2 linked regions of the Pelodiscus sinensis genome follow. The protein of the gene in region 2 purifies or fractionates together with the protein of the main gene of each other region. This does not show direct contact. Links are inferred from orthologs where the notes say so. Each region holds a gene or a part of one and is shown on either strand. Other genes may lie near its edges.

What was found. The genes of interacting proteins can lie anywhere in the genome.
Region 1: the proteins of PEX19 (region 2) and NAT14 purify together in Homo sapiens (co-immunoprecipitation; 3 studies listed by BioGRID and IntAct, counting the BioPlex papers as one, with this or other methods). This does not show direct contact. The link is inferred for Pelodiscus sinensis from reciprocal best matches to the Homo sapiens genes PEX19 and NAT14.

Annotation. Positions count from the first base shown.
Region 1 is NC_134743.1:2,721,486-2,728,523, reverse strand, and holds the start of NAT14 (putative N-acetyltransferase 14), read right to left. Parts: upstream 3,013-7,038; 5' UTR 2,980-3,012; intron 917-2,979; exon of another isoform or gene 897-916; intron 382-896; 5' UTR 358-381; coding exon 277-357; intron 1-276. Other genes in the region: ZNF628 (zinc finger protein 628), read right to left, coding at 6,758-7,038. UniProt on the Homo sapiens protein: Probable acetyltransferase. May act as a transcription factor that regulates the expression of coproporphyrinogen oxidase by binding to a promoter regulatory element.
Region 2 is NC_134734.1:14,636,701-14,644,368, forward strand, and holds the start of PEX19 (peroxisomal biogenesis factor 19), read right to left. Parts: upstream 3,002-7,668; 5' UTR 2,898-3,001; coding exon 2,831-2,897; intron 1-2,830. UniProt on the Homo sapiens protein: Necessary for early peroxisomal biogenesis. Acts both as a cytosolic chaperone and as an import receptor for peroxisomal membrane proteins (PMPs).

The sequences.
Region 1 (7,038 bases), on a different chromosome or scaffold from region 2:
GTCAAGGAAACCAGGTCAGTGCTAATCTCAGCTCTTCCTCGACCCTCTGGGACTTCAAGCGCTGCTCGCTTGGGATCTCTGTGCCTCAGCGTCCTCCACAAACAAGGGGATTCATACTGACTTGCATATCTCGGTAGGGGTAGGGAATCATGCAGGATCATTCTTTAGCTTTGAGATCCCCACAGGGCTAAAGGCAGGCAGGGGGTTAGAGCTTGGATGGACGGACAGACAGACATCTCCAGGGCTGGACAGACAGGCAATGCCCTCTCCCCAGACCTTTAGCAGCTCCAGGACCATCTGCTCCTCATCTTCCTGCATCTCGCGGATGGCGAGCTGGCTAGGATCCACCGTGGGCATGGCGCCTGGTGGGAGCAAGATGACCTGCAAGGCAGGAAACAAGGCTGAATGCCGAGGGCTTTTCCTCCCCCTCACAGGTCTGGTGAGGCTCCGAGCAGCTCATTCCCCCAGCACTGCCTGCTCCAGCTCTGCGCCCAGCCCGGTGCCCCCCATCACTAGACTAGAGTCACTCAGCCACGGCAGCCCAGAGAGCAGCTGGGCAGGTCCAGGGGCTGGACCCACGTGGTGTTCTCAGGCAGCAGCACAGCCAGTGCCCCCCAGAGAGGGCAAGCCCCAATCCCCGCCCCCTGGGCCAGCCAGCCCCTGCCCTACGGCCAGATTGGAGCCAGCATCCCCTAGAGGAGGAAAGGGCCCATGACCAAGCTGGCGAGGGGGGTGGGGCCACAGAGACAAGGTGGGGAAGAAACAGTCTCAACACTTTGCCTTGGGGCAGCCTCCTCCCTTCACCCCCATCCAAGAAATGGATGAACCCCTTCACAGAGATCCACCCCTCCGCCCATGAGAGGGAATGGGACTGCCCGCCCCCTGCAACCACTGACCCTTCCCCCATTAAAGGGAATGGGACTGCCCGCCCCCTGCAACCACTGACCCTTCCCCCATTAAAGGGAATGGGACTGCCCGCCCCCTGCAACCTCTGACCCTTCCCCCATTAAAGGGAATGGGACTGCCCGCCCCCTGCAACCACTGACCCTTCCCCCATTAAAGGGAACGGGACTGCCCGCCCCCTGCAACCACTGACCCTTCCCCCATTAAAGGGAACGGGACTGCCCGCCCCCTGCAACCTCTGACCCTTCCCCCATTAAAGGGAATGGGACTGCCCGCCCCCTGCAACCTCTGACCCTTCCCCCATTAAAGGGAATGGGACTGCCCGCCCCCTGCAACCTCTGACCCTTCCCCCATTAAAGGGAACGGGACTGCCCGCCCCCTGCAACCACTGACCCTTCCCCCATTAAAGGGAACGGGACTGCCCGCCCCCTGCAACCACTGACCCTTCCCCCATTAAAGGGAACGGGACTGCCCGCCCCCTGCAACCACTGACCCTTCCCCCATTAAAGGGAATGGGACTGCCCGCCCCCCTGCAACCACTGACCCTTCCCCCATTAAAGGGAATGGGACTGCCCGCCCCCTGCAACCACTGACCCTTCCCCCATTAAAGGGAACGGGACTGCCCGCCCCCTGCAACCACTGACCCTTCCCCCATTAAAGGGAATGGGACTGCCCGCCCCCCTGCAACCACTGACCCTTCCCCCATTAAAGGGAATGGGACTGCCCGCCCCCCTGCAACCTCTGTCCCTTCCCCCATTAAAGGGAATGGGACTGCCCGCCCCCTGCAACCATTGACCCTTCCCCCATTGAAGGGAATGGGACTGCCCGCCCCCTGCAACCTCTGTCCCTTCCCCCATTAAAGGGAATGGGACTGCCCGCCCCCCTGCAACCACTGACCCTTCCCCCATTAAAGGGAATGGGACTGCCCGCCCCCTGCAACCACTGACCCTTCCCCCATTAAAGGGAACGGGACTGCCCGCCCCCTGCAACCACTGACCCTTCCCCCATTAAAGGGAATGGGACTGCCCGCCCCCCTGCAACCACTGACCCTTCCCCCATTAAAGGGAATGGGACTGCCCGCCCCCCTGCAACCTCTGTCCCTTCCCCCATTAAAGGGAATGGGACTGCCCGCCCCCTGCAACCATTGACCCTTCCCCCATTGAAGGGAATGGGACTGCCCGCCCCCTGCAACCTCTGTCCCTTCCCCCATTAAAGGGAATGGGACTGCCCGCCCCCCTGCAACCACTGACCCTTCCCCCATTAAAGGGAATGGGACTGCCCGCCCCCCTGCAACCTCTGTCCCTTCCCCCATTAAAGGGAATGGGACTGCCCGCCCCCTGCAACCACTGACCCTTCCCCCATTAAAGGGAATGGGACTGCCCGCCCCCCTGCAACCACTGACCCTTCCCCCATTAAAGGGAATGGGACTGCCCGCCCCCCTGCAACCACTGACCCTTCCCCCATTAAAGGGAATGGGACTGCCCGCCCCCTGCAACCACTGACCCTTCCCCCATTAAAGGGAATGGGACTGCCCGCCCCCCTGCAACCTCTGTCCCTTCCCCCATTAAAGGGAATGGGACTGCCCGCCCCCTGCAACCACTGACCCTTCCCCCATTAAAGGGAATGGGACTGCCCGCCCCCTGCAACCTCTGACCCTTCCCCCATTAAAGGGAATGGGACTGCCCGCCCCCTGCAACCTCTGACCCTTCCCCCATTAAAGGGAATGGGACTGCCCGCCCCCTGCAACCTCTGACCCTTCCCCCATTAAAGGGAATGGGACTGCCAGCCCCCTGCAACCACTGACCCTTCCCCCATTAAAGGGAACGGGACTGCCCGCCCCCTGCAACCTCTGACCCTTCCCCCATTAAAGGGAATGGGACTGCCCGCCTCTCCCCCCGTAATCATCCCCTCCCTTCAAGAACAGAATGGTACAATCCTCCTCCCCAGAGAATGCAACCCCCGCAGCACAGGCGGTGGAACGCCCTGAGCCCTAAACACCCTGTGGCACCTCCCACAACCCACGCCACCCCCTCCCGGTGCGCAATGGACCCGCTCCAAGCTAGCCCAGCCTCTCACCCTAGCCCAGCGCGCAGCCGGCGATAGCCTCGCTCCTTCTGCCCAGTACGCATGCGCCGCAGCTTTTCCCCTCCTCCCCCCCACTTTCCTCCGCCCGCCCAGGTTTTACTTAGTAACCGTTGTTAAGGGCACAACTGCGGCCTAGCGGGCCCGCATAGCGCCTGCCTCGCAGTGCGGGGGCGCGAGGGCAGTGGGGCGCGTGCGGGCACGGGGGCTCTCCCAGCAGGCACCGCCCCATGGGCTCCTACAGCTGATCTTGCGCTGGCCAGGCCTGCGCTGAGGAGAGGCTGGGAGGCCCCATCTGCTCCCTGCAGCCCTGCCCTGGGAGCGGCCTGGAATTAGCGAGGGTGTTGTGTAAAACCCCCAGGAATACCCCCCCCCCGCAACTGCATCGTCACACGGGCCAGCCCGGGCACCCTGCGGGGGCGCAGGCCAGGCTGAGCTGGGACCAGTGATAACAGGGAGGGGAGCCGAGCCAGACCCAGGGACCGCGGAGCGAGGGGCCGAGCCGGACCCGGGGACCCCCGAGAGAGGGGCCGGACCCGGGAACCCCCGAGAGAGGGGCCGGACCCGGGGACCCCCGAGAGAGGGGCCGGACCCGGGGACCCCCGAGAGAGGGGCCGAGCCAGACCCGGGGACCCCCGAGAGAGGGGCCGAGCCGGACCCGGGGACCCCCGAGAGAGGGGCCGAGCCGGACCCGGGGACCCCCGAGAGAGGGGCCGGACCCGGGGACCCCCGAGAGAGGGGCCGAGCCAGACCCGGGGACCCCCGAGAGAGGGGCCGGAACCGGGAACCCCCGAGAGAGGGGCCAAGCGAGACCCAGGGACCCCCGAGAGAGGGGCCGAGCCAGACCCGGGGACCCCCGAGAGAGGGGCCGGAACCGGGAACCCCCGAGAGAGGGGCCGAGCGAGACCCAGGGACCCCCGAGAGAGGGGCCGAGCCGGACCCGGGGACCCCCGAGAGAGGGGCCGAGCCGGACCCGGGGACCCCCGAGAGAGGGGCCGAGCCGGACCCCCGAGAGAGGGGCCAAGCGAGACCCAGGGACCCCCGAGGGGCCAAGCGAGACCCAGGGACCCCCGAGAGAGGGGCCGAGCGAGACCCAGGGACCCCCGAGAGAGGGGCCGAGCCGGACCCGGGGACCCCCGAGAGAGGGGCCGAGCGAGACCCAGGGACCCCCGAGAGAGGGGCCGAGCGGGACCCGGGGACCCCCGAGAGAGGGGCCGAGCGAGACCCGGGGACCCCTGAGAGAGGGGCCGAGCCGGACCCGGGGACCCCCGAGAGAGGGGCCGAGCCAGACCCGGGGACCCCCGAGAGAGGGGCCGAGCCAGACCCGGGGACCCCCGAGAGAGGGGCCGAGCCAGACCCAGTGAGTGCTGAGCTAGACCCAGGGACCGCCGAGAGAGGGGCCGAGCCAGACCCAAGGACTGCTGAGTGAGGGGCTGAGCCAGACTTGGTGAGTGCCAAGACGCACCCGGTGAGCGCCGAGAGAGGGGCCGGGCTGGACCCAGGGATCAGGTCGAGCCAGACCTGCTACCCATTGAGTAAGGGGGCAAGCTGAGCTGGACCCTAAGGGACCTGCTGACCAACGAGCGAGATGGTGAGTCTGGACCCAGTAGGCCCAGCCAGTTCCAGCAATGAATAAGTAATATAAGCCAGACCAATGTGTGAGCCAAGCCAGCTGACGGATTGAGGGGGCAAGCTGAACCAGACCCAGTGAGCAAGCTGAGCTAGACCAGTGAGCAAGGGGCCAGGCTAAGCTGGACCCAGTGACCTGATGGGCAGGCCACATCCAACACAGTGCAGGGTATGCAGGGGAGGTAAAAAAATCCCTTGCTGAGCCACACCCCTCTCTCTGCAGCACAGGCCTGCTAGTGTCATCCTTGAACACTGGGCTCAGCACCCACAGATAGTTGCTTTGCTGAGGCAAGGCCCTGCAGCCCCCAGCATAAAGGCTATCTGATGAACACTCAGGTTTGGCGGGGCCCTGCATACCTCCTCCCACCCAGCAGCTCTAGCGCAGGAACCCAGCACCATATCTGAGCAGATGCTAGTGTGTCTCATGCACACACAGCTGCCAAGTTGAACCTGCAGGCACCCACCAGCCTCAGCCAGGCTTAGTGCAGGAGCTGCAGCTGTGGTGGCAGCAGGAGGGCACTATCTACCAATTAGGCCCAGTTCCCATGCAGCCCTTTGTGGTGTTCAGCCACCACAAGATGGGTGTAGGCGTGAGGCCACATCCCCGTCTGTAGTAAGACAGGATAGTGATACAGCAAATCCAGGATTTACTGGTGTGGCATTCTGACAGGTCTCCTGACCCGTTAGTGATAAATGTTCAGCTCCATGCATTTTCATATGCTCCCTCAGTATATTATGCCTGCTCTGTGCTGGTAGCTAGCATAATAGACTTTACGAGAGCCCCCAAAGACCACACACTTAGATAAGATACAAAGGCACCTGAGTCAGGTTTATTGTTGAACGAAGTACATTAATAATTGTTGGTAGCCAGATGGCCTCTGAGCCCCCTACATATTTGTACCCAGGACAATGGACACAGCCAATCAATAGTATGGATTTCACTATTTCCCCCAGGCCAGCTAAAGAATTAAGTGAGGTACCCCCACATTTATAGTCAGAAATGAACAATTTATGATCCACGCCATACATATCATCTTACGCATTAATGACGTGTTTGGTACCTCTTCTTATACTTTCCTCCAAAGCATTCATTACCCGTTCTGCTTTCACTCCTGTTGTTTCAAACTATTTTATTGTGTACTCAGGTGGGTGTCCCTGTATTGTCCTGGTGGCATGTATTTACATACTTCATGTGCTTTTATCAGTGCTAGCAGTTCTAGGGCGGAGAGACACTGATTTGCGAGCAAACATCTGCTTCTGACATGGACTGTCTGTTACTCATAATAAAACTTTTGCTTACTTTGGTTCAAGCACCCAGCTCTTCAGGCTCTTTCTTTCTCCTACACCCTTCATGCACTGAACAAACCAAACAGAGGCACTTTCAAATCAGTCTTTTATTTGCCTTGTAGGTTGAAGGGTTGTGCCAAGTGCCCTAATACAGAAGGGGCTCTAGAAGAGACAGGGGTGCTCTGCCTACACAGGAGGCCATCTGGGCGTTGGAGGAATAGGCCAGGGCTTTGGGGAGTAGGTATTACCTGGTTACCAGGACAAAGATACAGAAGGTGGCAACTGCTCTCATGCCAGTCTTCTGTCTGCCAGTGCCATGGGAACCCCTCTCCTATAGGAACCACTTGTGAAGAGGCAAGCACCAACTGCTCCACCCACGGGTTGACTGCAGAGCTCCTACCTCTTATTCATGCATTTAGCCTCCCGGAATGCTATGCTCAGCCCACAGAAGGGAAAATGCTCCAATCAGGGAGGGACTTGCTCAGGCTCACCCAGCAGAACCCAAGAGACCTAGCTCCCAAACCTGCATACACTTTAACCACTAGACCCCATAGTGTCAGGGATGGAACCCAGGGGTCCTGACTCCCAGCCCACCCATCCACTCTAACCCCTAGAACCAAGTCTCCTCCCAGAGTTGAGGATAGAACCCAGGAGTCTGCAGCCAGGATAGCTAGGATGATGCAGAACCAGGCTACCTGCACAAGTCTCACAGCTTGCGGCCCCCACTGGTCATCATGTGGGGATATCCCACTATTTTCATATTGCACAGGCAAGACAATCGGGGAACAAGAGCTCTAGCAGATCCTGCAATGCCAACCCACTGCACACACCCCGGCTGGTGTCTGTAGCCAGGGGCTCAGAAGGTGTGAACCAGCTGCACACTGGGCACTGTCTGCACAATCTGGATAGAGGGCAGTTCCTGGGGGGGTGGTACTGGGTTTGGCAGCAGCTGCACCATCTGGGTACTGGTGGCAGAGGGCTGCCCGCCAGCTGACACCCCATGCGCTGTGCCACTGCCAGAGCCCATGTTTTCCAGCACTTGCAGAGTCTGCTCACCAGGCGCACTGCGGATGATGAAGAGCTTCTGCCCTGTTGCCGGTGCCAGGGCTCCTACTCCATTGTCTGGGGGCAGTTCCT
Region 2 (7,668 bases):
GTACTTTATTTTATGCACACGCAGCATGGCGGCATAGCCGTGATCCCTGAAGATCCAGCTTTGTGGGGCAAGTTCCCCCTCCCTCCAGGGCTCACGTTGATGAACTGACACAAGACACCTAGGTGAGGGACAGTTAAAGGGACTCAATCGGGTTAAATTTAGCTGCAGGTTTCGATGGCCTGAAAGATTGTTTCAAAATTAATATAAAGAGCTAATGAAATGTTTAAAATTCAATTAAAATTATTTCTATGAGAACCAAGCTGTGCAGCACAAGGCTGGCACCAGAAAAATCTCAAAGAAAACTGGTCAAAAACTCGCTGTGAACCAGAAGAGCACTTGGCTAGATTGCATCAATATTCAAACAAGCCGGATGGTATCCCTTGAGGGCCAAGGATGATCCCAGGGCCAGAGAGCCCCAGTGGCTGGGAGCTGGGCAGCAGGACAGCTAGCAGCTGGGAGCCCTGGGAGCCCAGTGGGGCTGGCAGCAGCCTGGCAAGTGAGGGGGGACTGTGGCAACCCAATAGCCTGGCAGAGGAGCCAAGGTTGAGGCAGCAGCAGCCTACCTGAGGAGCTACGGTGTAGCAACACAGCAGCCCAGTAGAGGAGCCAGTATCGCCACATCGTAGCAATCCGGCAGGAGGGCTGGGGCTGCGGCAGCCCGGCAGGGGTTATGGGGCTGCGGCAGCCCGGCAGGGGTTATGGGGTTGCGGCAGCCCGGCAGGGGTTATGGGGCTGCGGCAGCCCGGCAGGGGTTATGGGGCTGCGGCAGCCCGGCAGGGGTTATGGGGCTGCGGCAGCCCGGCAGGCAGCCTGCCCAGGGCCAGTGGTAGGGTGACCGGCCGGGGCCGTAACCTGAGCCAGCAGTGGGTTGGGGGGCAGTGGCAGGGAACCTCCCCAAGTCTTGCAAATTCCCTCATGCAGGACCAGTCCAGTTCTGAGGGTGCTGGACCAGGGAAGTCCAACCTTTACCAACAAGGAGCACAAAGAATTAGGAGATTGGCACCACCCCTGAAAGCAAGTTTAGCTGCACCACTGACTTCTTACTCAGTGGAAGAATGGCTATGCATAAAGCCACAAAACACTAAGGCTGTGCAAAACTGGGCTCAACATTCTTAGCATTCATTCAGTGTTAGTGATCTGAGATGTTATGACATAGTTGAGAAAACTTTGTAGTACTTTTCCTTAGTGTGACAGTGTCCCTTTAAGGATTCACAGATTCTGCTCCTGGCTAAAAATTACCCACATCTTATTATTTGTTACCTTCTTTCCCCACCACAAATTGTTTGTTTCATCCACGCTTTATGCCAGGGGTGGGGAACCTCAGGCCTGTGGGCCCTTGCCTAGATCCGGCCCCCAGCTTGCCTAGTTCTGGCCCCCGATGCTCAGCATTGGGACATAGTAGGTGCTGAGCCTACTCCTAACAGGGCTGGAGCACACAAAATCTACTAGCCTGGGCCCCTTTAGGCTCTGGTGTGCATGGGGAATGTGGAGAATGTCTTTCTCCTTCTCAGTGAGGGGTTTCTGACTTTGCTTTTCACTTGTGCGGGGCCTCTGACTGATTTTTCTGGGGGTCAGTGGTCCCCGACCCAAAAAAGGTTCCCCAAAAAAGGTTCCCTGCTTTATGCCTTGGCTTTTAGGTTATAAGCTTTGTGGGGTGGAGTCTGCCATGTTTTATATACAGCATCTAGCACAACGGAGCTCAGGTTGGTTAGTCTCTGGGCCCTAGGGCAATATAAAGCAAGCCACCCGCACCCATGCCTACAACAGAAATCAGTTCATCCACTGAAATGCCGGGGTGAAGCATGGTGGCTGTTTAACAGCCATGTAAGTAAATGTAGGACAAATGAGGGACAAAGTATGTTGTATCTAAATAAAGCTGCAGGGAAATTTGTGCAGGGTGATCACCTAAGCAGCAATTCATCCCCAACAGAGTTAGTGGCCAGGCAGCCCAAAACAAACACACATGGCTGGTAACTTTCACCTCTCTTCCAGAGGACATAGCCCTCTGACCAGCACCTGCCACCCTTGCACTGGGCCCTGGATAACTGACAAGAGAGTCACCCGACACCCAATGAATCTCCCTTTAAGTCCCCCAAACTCAAATATGGACCAAGGTCAACCTGGCAGCCTCAAGCCAAGAGGGTCAAAGACCAGCTGTTGTGAACAGAGCGTCCTAGTCGGCTGAGAACGCCTATTTCAGATGAATGCCACGCTCCGATAGCACTCAGAAATAATAATGCTTCCTAACCCAGCAACTTTTAGAGGCCCCCATTCACACCATCATCATACAGCCCACGTTATGTCCAAGATTATGTTTATTTACCACAGTTTGGCAGGTCTCCACCCCACATTCACTGGGTCTCAAGCACTTGGATCTCAACTTTGAATGTTTTAGTAGATGGGCCCTCTCAGCTGCTGGTCACTCAGAGCCCCCTGGAGGGAGGCAGGGCGCAGCCCGCAGCACCCCTGAAATCCCAGCCCCCCAGTAACCTGCAGGGCAATCAAGGGCCTGACAGGAGAGCCACCCCAGCCGCACCTCTACCAGCAGCTCCCTCAAACGCTGCCAGAGGGGTGGAGCCCCTGGGGCCCTGCTGGCCGAGAATACAAGTGACGGGGTGTCTCAAGACCGAGGCCCTGCTAGATACAGTCCTGTCCTGCCACAGGGGTCCCCACGTGATGGAAGCCCCCCCCACCGATCAGCCCCACACCAGGCCTGACCCCCCATCTGATCTTACATCCCGAGCCCTTCGCCCCTCCAGCCCCCCCCCCCGGGCTAGGATCCTCCCCTTCCCCCGCCAGAGAGCCCCGGGGCCGCTCCCCAGCCCCTTACTCTCCAGCAGCTCGTCCAGCTCCCGGTCCGGGCCCGCCTGCCCGGCCCCCGCCGCCGCCGCCGCCATCTTCGCTGCCGCCTCCCGTCCGGTCCTGCGCGGGGCGGAGCTGGCCGGCCCGGAGCCTCCTGGGGGCAGGCCCGGCCGCCGCCGCCAGCTTAGGGGAGGGAGCGTCCCTCCTCCCCCCGCTGGGCGTTGCGCGGCCCGGCACCTCCCCTGCCGGCCCGGTACGCGCCTCCCCCAGGGCCTGGCCCCCCCACCAGGGCCCCTTACCCCTCCGAGCCTGGCACCTTTACCTGTCTGCCCTGCTCCCCTTCCAGGACCTGCCTTACCCCTCCGAGCCTGGCACCTTTACCTGTCTGCCCTGCTCCCCTTCCAGGACCTGCCTTACCCCTCCGTGCCTGGCACCTTTACCTGTCTGCCCTGCTCCCCTTCCAGGACCTGCCTTACCCCTCCGAGCCTGGCACCTTTACCTGTCTGCCCTGCTCCCCTTCCAGGACCTGTCTTACCCCTCCGAGCCTGGCACCTTTACCTGTCTGCCCTGCTCCCCTTCCAGGACCTGCCTTACCCCTTCGAGCCTGGCACCTTTACCTGTCTGCCCTGCTCCCCTTCCAGGACCTGCCTTACCCCTCCGAGCCTGGCACCTTTACCTGTCTGCCCCGCCCCCCTTCCAGGACCTGCCTTACCCCTCCGAGCCTGGCACCTTTACCTGTCTGCCCTGCTCCCCTTCCAGGACCTGCCTTACCCCTCCGAGCCTGGCACCTTTACCTGTCTGCCCTGCTCCCCTTCCAGGACCTGCCTTACCCCTCCGAGCCTGGCACCTTTACCTGTCTGCCCTGCTCCCCTTCCAGGACCTGCCTTACCCCTCCGAGCCTGGCACCTTTACCTGTCTGCCCTGCTCCCCTTCCAGGACCTGCCTTACCCCTTCGAGTCTGGCACCTTTACCTGTCTCCCCCGCCCCTCTTCCAGGACCTGCCTTACCCCTTTGAGCCTGGCACCTTTACCTGTCTGCCCCGCCCCCCTTCCAGGACCTGCCTTACCCCTTTGAGCCTGGCACCTTTACCTGTCTGCCCTGCTCCCCTTCCAGGACCTGTCTTACCGCTTCGAGCCTGGCACCTTTACCTGTCTCTCCTGCCCCCCTTCCAGGACCTGCCTTACCCCTTCGAGCCTGGCACCTTTACCTGTCTCTCTCTCCCCCGCTCCCCTTCCAGGACCTGCCTTACCCCTTCGAGCCTGGCACCTTTACCTGTCTCTCCCCCCCCTTCCAGGACCTGCCTTACCCCTTCGAGCCTGGCACCGTTACCTGCCACCCCCCCCCTTAGAATCTGGCATCCCTTACCTGGGTCCTCCCACTCCCCCTAGGAGCTGCCTTACCCCTTAGAGCCTGGCACCGCTTACCCGCCTCTACCAGGGGCTGGCACTTCCGGACCTACCTTACCATTTTAGAGCCTGGCACCCCTTGTCTGGCTCCCTCCTTTCTGCCTCCCTAGGGACTGGCAGCCTCCATCCTAGGGCCAGACAGCTACCTGTCCCCCTCTCCCTGCTGCACAGGCCCTGGCTTCCTCTTGCCTGCCACCCACCCTCCTTAGAGCCTGGTACCCATCACCTGTTCCTGCCTCCGGGGCCTGGCACCCCTGTTGGGTGTTGGCACCTTCACTCATCTCCATTAGGGCCTGGCATTAGCCACCTGCCTCCACCAAGTTTGGCAGCCTGCCCTTGCCAGGGTTGGCACCATAGGGACTATCACCCACCCCTTAGAGATTGACACCCCCACCAGACCTGGCATCCCACACCCTTTCCTTCCCCTCTTGCTTGGATCAGTCACACAGCCTCCCCCACCATCAAGGGGGCAACTAGAATTTTGCTAAAGAGGGTGCCCTACCATTATGCCAGCCAGTTCTAGTCAGGGGGTGCTGTTCTGCCTGCCCTCCCACCCTTGTTGTGTTCCTGCTTGATATTTGAGTTTTCATGAGAAGTTATACAGCAAAGAAAAGCTAGTGTGAAACTCAAATCCTTGCAAGCTGCATGGAAGCTTTTTTTAAAGACCCCATTATAGAGGCTTAAATTCAATACATAACCCAATTTAAAAAATATAGTAAAGTGCTACTGTGGCTAAGCAATAAAGTCAAAGTAGAAATTAAATTCTACTGAGAAAAACAGAAAAGAATATAAACTCTGGCAAGTGAAGTGTAAAAATATAACTAGGAAAGATAAAAAAGAATATGAAGAACAGTTAGCCAAAGACTCAGAAAGTTTAACATTAAAAAAAAAATCAGAAGTAGGAAGCCTGCTAAACAATCAATGGGGTCACTCAAGGTGGGTAAAGCATAGTGGAGAAATTAAATTAAGAAATCATTTAATTTTTCCACTGCTGAGAATACGATGGACATTCCCAAACCTGAGCCATTCTTTTTAGATGTCAAATCTAAGGAATAGTCTGAGATTGAGGTGTCATTAGAGGAAGTTTTGGAACAAACTGATAAACATTAATAAGTCACCAGCACCAGATGGTATCACCCAAGAGTTCGGAAGTAACTCAAATGTGAAATTGAACTACTAACCGGTATGTAACCTGTTTTTAAAATCAACTTCTGTACTTCAGGTTGCCTCATGTTAAAAAAGGTACAGAAAAGGGCAACAGAAATGATGAGGGGGATGGAGATTAACGAGACTTGGTTACGTTTACACTGCACACCTGAAAATTGTACAGCTGAGCTACTGCAACCACGTTGTTGTAAAGCACACAGTGCAGCCCTCTGTGACCAGGAAAGAGCCCACGGCCCTTAGCTGTCTTTTCCAACTCCAAAGGTCCATGCCATGTCTACACTGCACTTTTGCTGAAAAACACCCCCTGCACAACAAAAGTTTGAACGATTAAATGCGCCAGAGTGGACAGCACTTCATTGGCAAGGAAATGCTCTCCCACCGACAAAGCCACGACCCCTCATTTGGGGGAGAGTGTATTTTGTTGCCTGGAGAGCTCTCTCCCAGGAACAAAGAGCAGCTACACTGCGGTTTTCACAATGGCACAGCTGCAGTGTCACAGCCATGCTGTTGTAAAATACACAGTGTAGGCACAGTCTAAGGGGAGATATGGTAGAAGTCTATAAAATCATGACTGGTGTGGAGAAAGTAAATAAGGAAGTGTTAATTACTCTTTCATGTACATGCACAGGTTGACATGAACAAACAACAATATGTGACATATAACCTCCACCATGCAGAACACAACACTATACACAGCTTCAAAAACAATTCTAAGGTTATAATCAAAGAGGCTGACAAAGGGGGTGCTATAGTCATCAAGAACAGGACAGATTACAAACAGGAGGCTGCAAGAAAACTCATCAACACCACATTCTACAGGCCTCTTTCCTCTGATCCCACTGAAGAATACTCAGAAAAACCCTACACCATCTGCTCATGAAACTTGGGATGAAATCTATACAAACCCCTTGCTAAATCTCTAACCAGGAGTTTTCTATCTGCTACCCAAGATCCATAAACCTGGAAATCCCGGATGTCCTATCATCTCAGGCTTCAGCACACTTACAGCAGAATTATCTGGTTATGTTGACTCTCTCCTCAGACTCTATGCTATCAGCACTCCTAGCTACCTTCAAGACATCACTGACTTGCTAAGGAAACTACAGAACATCAGTAATCTTCCTGAAAACACCATCCTGGCCACCATGGATATAGAAGCTCTTTACTCCAACTTTCCACATGATGATTATTACTAGCTGTCAGGAACACTATCCCTGATGATGCTACTGCACACCTGGTTACTGTGCACTGTGACTTTGTCCTCACCCACAACTATTTCCAATTTGGGACCATTTATATCTTCAAGTTGACGACATCTTTGTTATATGGAACCACAGGACGAAACCCTTGAAGAATTCCACAGGGATTTCAACAACTTCCATACCACTATCAACCTTAGCCCGGACCAGTTCACACAAGAGATCCATTTCCTTGACACTACAGTACAATGGCCACATTTCCACCACCCTACATCAGAAACCTAATGACCATTATTCTTAGCTACATACCTCTAGCTTCCATCCAGGACACGTTACACAATCGTTTACAGACAGGCTTTAAGATACAACCGGATTTGCTCCTATCTGACAGACAGAGACAAACACCTACAGGATCTCTATCAGGCATTCTTAAAACTTAAATACTCACCTGGGTAAGTGAAAAAACAACCTGATAGAGCCAGATGAGTACCCAGGCATCTGTTTCTTCAAGATAGGCCCAACAAGCAAAATAACAGAACACCACTGATCATCACCTACAGCCCCCAATGTAAACCTCTCCAACACATCATTAAGAATTTACAACCTATCCTGGAAAATGATCCCTCACTGTCACAGGCCTTTGGAGACAGGCCAATCCTTGCCTACAGACAACCCCCTAATGCAGCGGTTCACAACCTTTTCTAGATGGGGATCCACTTTGACAATTCAGGAAGAATTGACCCAAGTCAATTAAAAAACGGGTAGGATGAGGGGCAGAGCCACCTGGGGAGACACTTGGAGACTCTTTTGAAATGTAACGGCGACCCATATTTGGGTCACAACCCATAGGTTGGGAAACCCTGCCCTAACCTGAAGCAAATCCTTTCCAGCAACTATGCATCACCCCTCAAACATACTCACCCAGGTACCTACCCCTGCCATAAACTCCATTGCCAACTCTGTCCACGCATCTATACAAGCGGCATCATCACCGGACCTAAACCACATAAGCCACAATATCAGAGGCTCATACAACTGCACATCCACTAATGCAATATATACCATCAAGTGCCTGCAATGCCTTTCTGCCATGT